Linked DNA regions of Oryzias latipes. The main gene of each other region encodes a partner of the protein of the gene in region 3 in a complex. Links are inferred from orthologs where the notes say so. Each region holds a gene or a part of one and is shown on either strand. Other genes may lie near its edges.

Region 1 (4,432 bases), on a different chromosome or scaffold from region 3:
AAAGCAGAAGCAGTGATGAAAAACTCTGGGAAAAGTGTGAAAAGATCTTCAGGACGAGTTGAAGCGCCACACTTTTTGTTCTAATGCTTAAGCTTCAAAAAACCTTGATCCAATTTAGTTTTAGCTGACGTTTATGTGTGATGAGAGAGTTCTGCCCTCTTTGGTGAACACATCTGTCCAGAACACGGAGAGTTCTGCAGCTGCAGCTTTGTTTTGTCGATGATTAAGTCTGAAAAAAAGCACAAAACAATTTGTTTACTCAGTACTTTCACATCTCTTTGTGCCAAATGATTCAATGCATCATCTCTCACCACCAAATCAGCCCAATTTCAAAGTATTTAGAGATGCAAATACTTTGCTAAATCTTTTAGATTTCTCCTGCATTTCTATGATTTGAACCTTTTCAGTCTGAGTGTACAAAGTGAGACATGAACTCATGAGCTTCTGCACGGGTCCAGAATCCACCACTCCACCTCTCCCATCCCTTCCCAAGACTGACGACCTGCCTCACCTTGGACCTTCTTCTCCCATGAAAGCTGGTGGGAGTCTTCCTCTTTCTTCATCCAAAGTCAGTCAGTGGGTCGTTCTGTGTTTTTCCAGGTTTCTGCTGGTGAACAATGACAGAGGTTAGATCTGCCGCAGAAACACCAGCAGGTTCATCATCACAGCATCATCGGAGAAATCTCCTCTCAGCTTCTTCACTCCTGGTACTTTGCTGGATCTCATTTCCATTTAAATCTCTGCACACATTTTAGTTTTCTGTGGAAACAATATTCCTATTATTAAAAATGTTCTGATTCAAAAGAAGTTTATTCTTGATATTTTCTTTTCAATTCTACTTTTATTGCAAATAAACGTTCCCTGTAAAAACAAAATCATCTCCGCCTGCAAACTTTGTATTAAATATGTTCTTTCCTTTTCCTTTTTCACTAAAACACACGTAACAACGTGAGTTCACTTCTTCACAAATACATTAATCTCTTTTAGACACTTGAAATAATGCAAACTATTTATTTGTCTTAAAATAATGGAAAACCGGCAGTTATTTGAAGGAATTGGAACGAATCCGGCTCTCTGATTGGACACAGCAAAGTTTGATACTAGAAATTGGAACAATTCTGGCCATTTGATTGATTGAGAAGTTGGAACACTCTGATCAGGCCCGTCGGAGGAAGACTTCCTCTCGCCGTGCAGAAGCTCCCGAGTTCGCGGCCCGCTGTGCGCGGTTGCAGCATAAAGATCCTCTGCTGCTGATTCTTCTAAAGAAACAAACAACTGGAAGGGATTCACTTCTTCTCTCAACAGAAAGAACCTGTAAATGGATGAAAACCATGAACGCGTGAGGTCATCGATTGATCGATTCACAGACATTCATTAAAGGTGGAAATCAATGTTTTTACTGTGTTTGTCTTTAAAAACCTCATTTCTTAGTTTATTGTTTTATTTATTTAAGTAATGATTTTATAGTGTGTGTGTGTGTGTGGGGGGGGTCCATTTATAGATAAACAAAATCCTACTTGTGCTTTCTTTATTGTTTTTTAAATTCCTAAACTTTTTCAAGAGAGATTTTCTTTTTCGGACGTTCCCTGAATGTCTCGGACTAGTCACCTACTGGACTCCAGCGTGAAAGGTTCGGATCAGAACCGCTCTGGGTTCGGCTTTTGTGCTTCCGTGTCCTACTTCTCCCGAACAACCTGAGTCCAAACGACGGTGAGGAGCAGAATTCTGCTTTCTGAGCTTCACACATGCGACAATCATGAGAAGACGAGCAGCTCATGCGTGGCGGTTAAGATCAAAGAAATTGTTCAAAGCTTTTAGGGAAACGAAAGACGACGGCCGCCGTGTTTGCTCAATTAGTTCACTTTCTGGAGTGATTTAAGTCGATATTACGAGATTATAACTACTGCTTTCGTGAGATAACGGAATAGATGTGTTGCTCGTCTTGTCGAAAACACAGTTTAATGATGTGTTATTAGTAGAAAACAAAAACAAATTTAATTGTTGCTAACGTTCAAAGCTCTAATCTAAATAAATGGCGGATTTGAAAGTAGTTTCTGGCCCGCTAATTTCACCAAATTTCCATTCCGTTCCAGTAAATAACGTTAAACTTCTTATTTATTGCTGACTGTGGGTGTTTGTCGTCAATTTCTCTGCATTTGGACGGCCAGAAAGCGCGTAGAAAAGGTCCAGTTATTTGATCATTTGATCACTGTTTTTTTAGGACTACGGCAGTTGTCCTAAAGCGAGGTGATAAGGACACGTCTACAACTTGGGTGACTCCAACACGCTGGTTCACTCTAAGAAAAGCAGTAATAAAGTAATAGTATGGATTTATGTGGAGTTTGTTTGAACAATAGTGAGTACTTGTAATGTTTTAGAGGTTATTTATGTTGACTTACTGAGAAACTGCTATTGTTTGTCTGGGGTGTTTTGGTGTACTTTATTGACGGTCCCCGTCTGCCTCTGTAGCTTCACATCGAAGTAAACTCAGGCTGTGACTCGTTTTCTGCTTCACCACAGACACAAATAAAAAGTTTACACTAGTCAATAGAACTATATCCAACGTCATGTTTGTGGATAAAGTTAGTATGAAAAAAACAAAGCAGACCGGTGACCGGATGTGTCTGTGACACGAACACATTCTCAACTTCTAATTGCAGCTCATCTTATATGTTTGATGAGCAAATGAAGTTATTTGCCTTTATAGTTCTTGAAATACTGGAACAAAATTCCACAGAATAAATATAATGAAGATCCACCGTTTCTTTATTTTAGTTGAATGCAACGCTTCCATGTAATGAATCTCCAGGTGGAGCGGTGAAACAGCGGCACCATGTGGCAGATCTACAGCAGGTATTTTCTGCATTAAACATGACTGTATCTTTGTGTTTAGAAACAGGATTTTTGAAGTAGAATTTTACCTCACAGATGCTCACAATGTATTTAAAGAATTTCAGAGGCAGCATATTGGAGAAAAAGCAGGAAATGGTCAGAATTTAGTTCAACCAGGAGCCGACAGGCTCTCAACAGGGAAGCAAGCCACTCAGGATCGTCTCCGCACCAATGAAAGTGTATAATCCTGGTCTTTGATGGGTTCTTCTTATTGAATTTAGGTCCATGTGAGTTCTGTTCGTCCTGTTGCTGGAAGCAGAAGCACAGACTCTCGTCTCTGAGCTGATCTTTCTGCAGCGAGTCGTCGCTTTGGCTTCCTGCTTGAAGGCAGCAGCAGAATGACGTCAGTCTGACGCGATCAGACCAGTTTTCTCTTTCTCCACACAGATCCTTGTCTGAAAGAGTCTCCACCCCTGTGTGTGTAACCATCAGCACATGGGGGTTGGTTGGAGCTGCGGTGGGGGTTGGTAAAGGTCCTCCTGGAGGGGTGTTGACTCGACCTTTTGTTCTGGCGCTTCCGGGAAACCAGTCGCACTCGTCTGACGTGACAAAACCCCCCTTCTTTTCCCAGAATCCTTCCAAGAAGTCTCTCACAAAGTCAGAAAAAATGTAATTTTAATCTGATTTAAGCATTTAAGTCAAACTTTGAATGGAGATGGTGAACCTGAGACGATCCTGTGTCATGGGAGAAACAGAGGATCTTTTTTGGTGTTTTGTCTTAATTGTGGTTCCCTTTAAAGTCCACTGTGTTCCCTCAGATCACACCTCATGCTTGAGAAGAGTAGCAGAGGGGAGGGTTTAAAAAGCACTCCGAGACATTGGCTCATTGCACTAGTTCTCTAGTGCATATACTAAAATTGGAACGATACAGAGAAGATTAGCATGGCCCCTGCGCAAGGATGACACGCAAATTCGTGAAGCGTTCCTCATTTTCTCTTTTAAAAAACAATTTCACCTAACTTTGTGTCATTGTTTTAATAAAAATAGCCCTTAATATGAACCATCCAGCTAATATATGACAATTTTTAATAGAGTTCATAGCAAAAGTTTCAGGAAAACTCACAGCAGACAAAATTATAGATGTAAATTAAAGCCGTACGTGGCATTGTAGGCGCTACCCGCTTCTACACACCACCTCCGCTATCGCTGCCCACCTCTATGCAGCTCAGCCGCCCTCACCACCCAAAAAATGCATATACTAACCATCCTAACTATGGTAGTTATGCTAAAATGGCTAAAAGTGCTAGCTTAGCGATCAGCATCATCAGCGTACTCAGAAAAAACACATTGCTTAAGACTCTAAATATGCTAACACTGCTAGATATGCTATTTTGGCTAGAATTGCTAGCATTGCGATCAGCATCATCAACTCACTCAGAAAAACACATTGCTTAAGATGCTAATTATGCTAACAATGAAAGTTATGCTAGTATGGCTAAAAGTGTTAGCTTAGCGATCAGCATCATCAACTTACTCAGAAAAACACATTGCTCCATTAGTAAGAGCTACATATCATACGTTGATAAAAAATCCACTTTTA
Region 2 (3,004 bases), on a different chromosome or scaffold from region 3:
TAGGGATCACCAACATTTTTCTTTTCTGCCGTCCCATTTCACATAGTTTGGATAAAAAAATCTTTCATCCCCCCCCCTCTTTTGGATCTCTTTGCATCTATTTAGTTACATTAAATTCCAGTTCTTTTCTCACTGCATCCGTGGTTACTGTTACTTAAGAAGACTTGACTGTTGTCACTTTCAGAGGTTACATAGTTTGGAGGAAACAAAGACCAACAAGTCAGTAAAAGTTACTAAAAAAAATAAAAAAGGCAATGAATTTTAGACTTTTTCTTTTTTTTTTTTAAACTTGTAATAGATTTTCTTTGCAACAACTACAGTCTGTTTGGCAGCACAAAAGGTAACTTTGTTTAGCCAAACCGAAGAATTTTTCTAGTAACATTTTATTTTTACGCCATTTACATTTTTTTTAATGGTTTATTTCAATCAATCAAAGCAAGGATAATGCACAAAACAATACAATCAGCAGTTATGCATTTATATAAAGACGTATCAAACTTAGGATAATTAGACATTAAATCAAAGATTGCTTGAAAGGGAGTGGAAGGAAGTGAACTTAAATAATCCCACTCCTGTTGGGTTTTTGATATGTTGTTGAAGTAGTCGCTTGAACTTCCGTTGCAGAGGCTGTTGTGAACATAGCATTGATGTGTGGCCCTTTGCCGATAAATCCGGATCCCCTAAATGTATGAACTGAATCCCAAGATGTTCTTGGCTCCTACTAGAAACAGGGGGTCATTACTCAGGAAGAATATCTTGAGTTTTCCTCATCTGCTCCAACTGTTCATCCACAGGTGATAACAAAGTTGGCAGGTATGGACGAAGAGGACTTGATGTTCTCCACCCGAGAGGAACAGCAGCAGCTGCTTCAGAAGGTCCTAGCTGCTTCAGACCTGGACGCGGAGGATGAAATAGTGGCAACTGAACTGGGCGTTCGACCACAGGTAAAAATTTATTTAAAAATAAAGACATAAATAAATAAATACAATTCATTTAGAACTTTTACTAATGGATTTAGGAATAGAAGAATCAACCCTGCAATGAACTAAAGCAACTTGTTTGTTCAGCTTGGACCCAGTTATAAGGAAGTCTAGACAGTTTGGTCCTACCTTTCCCAGCAGGTGACGACACCACCACGTTGTTGTTTTGCCATTTGTTTATTGTTGACCTAATAGAAGGTGGTGGAGCAGGGGTCTGCAGTCATTAACGCTAAAACAGTGATTTAAGCCAGTTTCTAACTCAAATCCAGTCAGAGCTGCAAAGTCACAGTTTAGAAAAATACACCTTACTTATGTTCTGTTGCCATTGATCCATTTATTTATCAAATGTAGCTTTTAACAATAATTGAATTATAGTAAAAAAATGTAGTGATAAAGTGATATATTTTTACATATATAACAATTATTTTACTTTTGTCAGCAGTATAAGTTCCTTTCAAAATAAAATACACCCTGTGTCAAATAAGACACAGATAGCTGTAGCAGATTTACAGAGTTAAGAACTGCAAGTTAAACATGACATTTTCTGTTTTGACTTTTGGTGCACCTTCATTTGTTTTCCCCTTTTCCTATCGGGAACAAACATGACAACATTGGTGTGGAATCAAAAATATATATCTATAGAATTATATACTTTAACAGCTTTGCCTCTGAACAGCAACTAGACACTCGTGTACAGCAGAAGATAAGAGTATGTGTATCATTTTGCTCAGTCATTAAATGTTAAAAATCTAAACATGAATGACTATTTTAAGATACACAATAGAGCCACTTTTTCCAGACTTCTGTGGTGGAGTCGTGCAGCTCACACCAAAAGACGTGTTTTTAGCTACCCCCTTATCAAATGAAGAAGTAGGACAAAGTAATACCTTTTTAATATAAGGAATGTTGCTGTGGCTCACGTCATCTGCTTTTATTTAAGAAGAAAAAAATCCTTTTTGGTTTTGAACACTTGTACTTACTTTTTGATTTCATTTTTTTTTACCAGGTTTCAAGGCGAGCGGGCACCATGAGCTCCATGTCAGGTGCAGATGACACCGTCTACATGGAGTATCAGAGCAAAAGCAACAAGGCTTCTTTTGGCGCTAAGAGTGTTCATCCTCTGTTCAAGCGCTTTAGAAAGTAGCTCTGCGTTTAGTATGGATTTAGTGTTATTGTTCCAGCCTACTGGTTTTTCAAAATAAAAGGATCAATAAGAAAAACTTGACTGGAATTTTTGTTCTACATATTTTTTTATTCCAGAAATAATTAACAGTGGTGTTTCATTTATACCTTTTTTTGTTCATGAAATGTACATTAAACTGCTTTAATTGGGAAAACCTGTAAAGCTGAAACAATGGAATCCTAGACCTCATCTTGTATTTATCTGTTGTTGTTCCTAGACTAACCTTGAAAGTTGACTGATTATGTCCTTTTAATATTTCTTAATGGTATATTTGATGTTGTTTCTTATCCAGAGGTAAATAAAACATATGATCTATTATAATAATAATTCATTTCTATGAAGGACATGAAAAGAAAAAATCAACCAAGTCCTTCTCTAGCAGATCTGTCATCAAGTTTCTATCTTGTAATTAACATCTTTGAGGCTTTAAACAGTGCCAAAGTACATGGTTGTGTCTTAAATAAATGTAAGCGTTCCATACTCTGCACCAATCACCCTCCAGTTGCAGCTATATGAAAAATTTTCTTTTAAAAACAGGGCACAGGGGCATGGAAAGGCCTTGTCTATTACCTTTTACCTTAGGGAACTTCCACTGATTGGTTTAGAGGGAGTAAATTGTATTAAGGTAGATTTGACTCAACGTGTTTGTTAAGTGTACACGGTGATAGTTATCAATGCTGCCAACTCCGAGCTCATTCAGAACACTCTGCAACAGTTTGAAAAGCAGCTTCTCCACGTGTCGAAGTGTCCTCAAAGTCGGTCAGAGTAAGTGTCCTCAGGCAGCACCATGACGCTTTACATTAAGCCCAACACGCTGATCAGTTTAAGTGTCGATGAATGA
Region 3 (3,653 bases):
GTGCAGCGCGTTGACATGTTTCCGTGACAACGCGGCGCTCAGCCGGTACTTACCTCGACTGCAGTGGCGAAGGAAAGCGATATATATATGCTGATCGTCACGATGGGTTAAATAAAGCATCATATGAAACAGAAAAACTGTAACTGTTACAGTCGCTTGTTAAAATAAAGTTTTTTCGAGGAATATTGGAAAAGGAGACTTCCAGTTTCGGTTGAAAACTTCTGGGTCTGACAGATGAAGTTGTCGTCTAGATCCAGATCCTTGTGGAATTTCTCTGTTATTTTTTGGACAGATCTCATTCATTGAAAAGGTTGATCTTCAAAACGAACTGAAGTCGCAGTGCTGCTGCTTGGATGCTGGGTAAATGTTTCTAACAAAACACCAACTCCATCACTTCACAGCTGGGAGGAGCAGCAAACTCACCTCTGTCATGAGCCAATGCTTCTGTTTCATACTGATGTCCAGAAGTTTGGTCTCATCCAGAATCTCATCCAAAGCCAGGAAATGTGTGTCGCCATTCTGATGTCTGGTCTGTAATTTCACACCAAAACAAGTCAGAAAACATCACATCATATCGGAGTCTCTCAGTGAAAAGGCGGGCCGTGCATCTCTCCATTGGTTTAGGGTAACTTGGAGCCGCTGCATTCAACAGATAGATGGCTCAAAGAACACAAAGAGAGAATCGGTGGAATGAAGTGGGAGCCGATTCAGTCAGTCGGGGAGATTGACACGGCCCACTGCTCAGCTTGGATGGAGAGAGCACAAGCAGGTCAATGATGTGGATGCTAATGTGGGGGCTAAAATGAACTTCACACGTTCGTCAAAAACATGTGCCGGGGAAAAAACAAATAAACAAAAGAGAAAAAAAAAACATTTTTTACCCTGGACTACAAACAGAAAGCATCATGTTTACCTTCATGTAATTGACGATCTTAGCCAGGCAGCCGAATTTGTACCCGGAGCTTGCTTTGATGTTGATGTTGCCATTACTGCTCTCTGTGAATGACATTTCAAAATAAAAGCTTTTTACGGTTGAGATTAAAGCCATTTTGGCAAACACAAACTTAAAGTCCCACTCCGATCATCTTCTGATCTATTGTCAAAGTGTTCCCAGTGGTCTTTTAATTATGATGATGTCCGTTTTAACGCCCAAATCTGAAAACCTGTGTCGTTTTCTAGGACGTCGTTTCTGCAGAGCGGCAGGAGTTCATTCCAAATTTGCCTCTAAGGTGTGGACGGGGAATGTTGGTGCGGAGCTACACCACCCCCCTTTCCCCTCCTTGTTGCTGAGAGCTCTCTGTTTACATGCTCGCCGAATGTCCAGCGAGGAAAGCAAAGGCATTCGTGGATCTAGTCGTCTACAGGTGGATGCATCAGAATGGAGCGGAGCAGGGAGCTCATGGCCCGCCGACCGTTTCCACGTCACAAATATCATCTTTTTCAGACGGTGTTTTCTCATCTACTTCTAATTCAGGAGGATTTGAATCAAGAAAAAACTCAAAAGGGCTATTTCAAGCTAAATTTTCAAAATAAAAGTCCTCTGTCAGCAGAAAAATGCCAGAAAAAAAACCCTGTTAAAAAACAGCAAAAGCACGATTTTTAACAAATGGGTCTTTAAAAATAGTATTGCATTTCCTTGGGTTTTTTTAAGCCGTTTTTAATCTGTTGCTCTGATAAGACATGAATATTAAATGGATCTAGCATTTGGTGAAAACTTAAGTGATTCAGGCTGTGAGCTGGAGCCTCTGCAGCTTTAAGCTGCAGAGTAGGCGGGACGTTACAACGATGACAAGCTGGCTAACAAATGGAGCTAAGGCAGAGGAAAAGAAGGGGTGTAAGGGGGGGGGGGGGGGTCACTGCAAGGAGTGGCGGGGGAGGAAGAGGAGGAGGAGGAGTGTATGGACTGAACCCATGACGAGTGCAGGCTGAGAAGAGGGGAATACCGACAGACAGGTGCAGCAGTGAAAAGAGGAGAGAGCATCTTCTGTCTTCTATCTTCAGCCACAGCCAGACAGGTGAGTCTGCATGTTTCTCTGAATAGGATTCTTAAAATGGCACTTTTTTTTAGGATCTGCCATTTTTTTAAGGATTTTCCAGTTGATATTAGCAATCATTTCTAAAAGCTACTTTTGTGCGCGCTAACGGCAAAAGCAGCCCTCAATCTCCTCAGCTGTAATATTCCGAAGCCAGGATTTCTCATGGGTACGCTTGATTAAATAAACATGGATCAGTCTGCGCTCCTCGGGTTTCAGGGACCATCATTCCAGGGACCATTTCCGTGAGTGTCCCACGTTCGGGCGCCGTACCTGTGACAGCTGAAACGCACAAAACCTGAGCGAACAAACGGACGCACAAATCAGTCGAGACTGAGAGGAACCAGACAGCTTTTTTTTTTTTTGGAATGCGTGTTGAGAAAAAGCAAATGTGTGGCTCCAATGCCGCCCACAGAGCCCGGCCGGGGTGGGGCTCGCTCGCTTAGGGGAGGGAGGTAACAGATGCTGCACCGTCCCGGTTTTTGTGCGACTCCTCAGGAAGGATAATGGATAAGCCGAGAGAGCATTGGTGAGGGGAGATGGACAGAAAAAGGGGGGGGGAGGGAGGAGGCTGGCCAAAACACATGCAATAAAAGAGGCTGTTGTCATAGCGACGAGTGATGATGAAGCTGTTAGTGCTTGATTAACAGGGAGAGGATGCTCAGTGTGCAGCAGTTAGAGACGAGAGGCGGGGAATGACAAACGGACGCAACCACAAATTAATTCCCAACTTATACACAATACAAACTTTGATCGTGTTTACATTTGTGCTTAAATTCAACATTTGATAAGAACTTCACCAAATGTCTCAGCAAAAACACATTTTTAACAAAGTTCGACATTTCCAAAGCTCGTGAAAAATAAGAGAAGCAACAAAAAAGCACAGTGGCTTTTTAAAGAATATAATTTGACGTCACTTTTTGTTTAGGAATCCAAAAATAAGAGGCAGAATTCTTAGGAAAAAGTTCATAAAAGAGACCAAGTCTCCCCTTAGATTATTCAAAAACGTTTAAGTATATAAATAATTGTCCATTTTCAAACATTCTCAGACTGCAGTTACCTTAATCAGTATGCTTTAGTCAAAATGTTAGGGGATGCTAGTTAAAAGACAAAAGTCCAATGTAAGACAACAAAAATAAACATACAAAAATAAAGGTTATATTTCTGTGGTTCAATTTATAGTTAATGTTGATGCATTTTTGAGAAACACATGTCAAGCTCATAAAGTGAAACCCTGCTGGTGCGCGCATCGCTTCAGGAAAAGTTACATGACCAATACAGCTACTGTGTCGATGCGTCACAGGAGCCCAACACGGAAGCGCAGATTCCTTGTTTGCCAGATTCTGCTGTTCCTGAATGTGGCAAATAGATTCTGCGCCAGATTCTGCAGTTTTCCACCCAATCGGGTGATTTTGAGTCTCAGCTATCTTTTATTTTGAAAAATATATATTTTTTTTAAATTACCAGATCTTCTCGGCGTTAAACCAGTCCAGCAGCAAGTTTAACAGCGTAAGAAAAACTATTTTTGATGCCCTGGACGTACGCCCAGGTTCCAGCTGTTAAATGATTCTCTGATTTTGTTTGATCTCATTTACATATCTGCTATTAAATCAGTTGTTT

The links.
Region 1: gtf2e2 (region 3) and polr2k share a complex: the UniProt entries of both Homo sapiens proteins name them as parts of the TBP-based Pol II pre-initiation complex. The link is inferred for Oryzias latipes from reciprocal best matches to the Homo sapiens genes GTF2E2 and POLR2K.
Region 2: gtf2e2 (region 3) and ercc3 share a complex: the UniProt entries of both Homo sapiens proteins name them as parts of the TBP-based Pol II pre-initiation complex. The link is inferred for Oryzias latipes from reciprocal best matches to the Homo sapiens genes GTF2E2 and ERCC3.

The regions. Positions count from the first base shown.
Region 1 is NC_019869.2:7,013,567-7,017,998, forward strand, and holds the start of polr2k (DNA-directed RNA polymerases I, II, and III subunit RPABC4), read left to right. Parts: upstream 1-1,596; 5' UTR 1,597-1,710; intron 1,711-2,775; 5' UTR 2,776-2,853; intron 2,854-2,936; exon of another isoform or gene 2,937-3,416; intron 3,417-3,720; exon of another isoform or gene 3,721-3,826; intron 3,827-4,432. UniProt on the Homo sapiens protein: DNA-dependent RNA polymerase catalyzes the transcription of DNA into RNA using the four ribonucleoside triphosphates as substrates.
Region 2 is NC_019861.2:14,793,266-14,796,269, forward strand, and holds the end of ercc3 (general transcription and DNA repair factor IIH helicase subunit XPB), read left to right. Parts: intron 1-794; coding exon 795-944; intron 945-1,986; coding exon 1,987-2,124; 3' UTR 2,125-2,484; downstream 2,485-3,004. UniProt on the Homo sapiens protein: ATP-dependent 3'-5' DNA helicase/translocase. Binds dsDNA rather than ssDNA, unzipping it in a translocase rather than classical helicase activity. Component of the general transcription and DNA repair factor IIH (TFIIH) core complex.
Region 3 is NC_019859.2:11,941,381-11,945,033, reverse strand, and holds part of gtf2e2 (transcription initiation factor IIE subunit beta), read right to left. Parts: intron 2,016-3,653; exon of another isoform or gene 1,866-2,015; intron 997-1,865; coding exon 914-996; intron 532-913; coding exon 424-531; intron 1-423. UniProt on the Homo sapiens protein: Recruits TFIIH to the initiation complex and stimulates the RNA polymerase II C-terminal domain kinase and DNA-dependent ATPase activities of TFIIH. Both TFIIH and TFIIE are required for promoter clearance by RNA polymerase.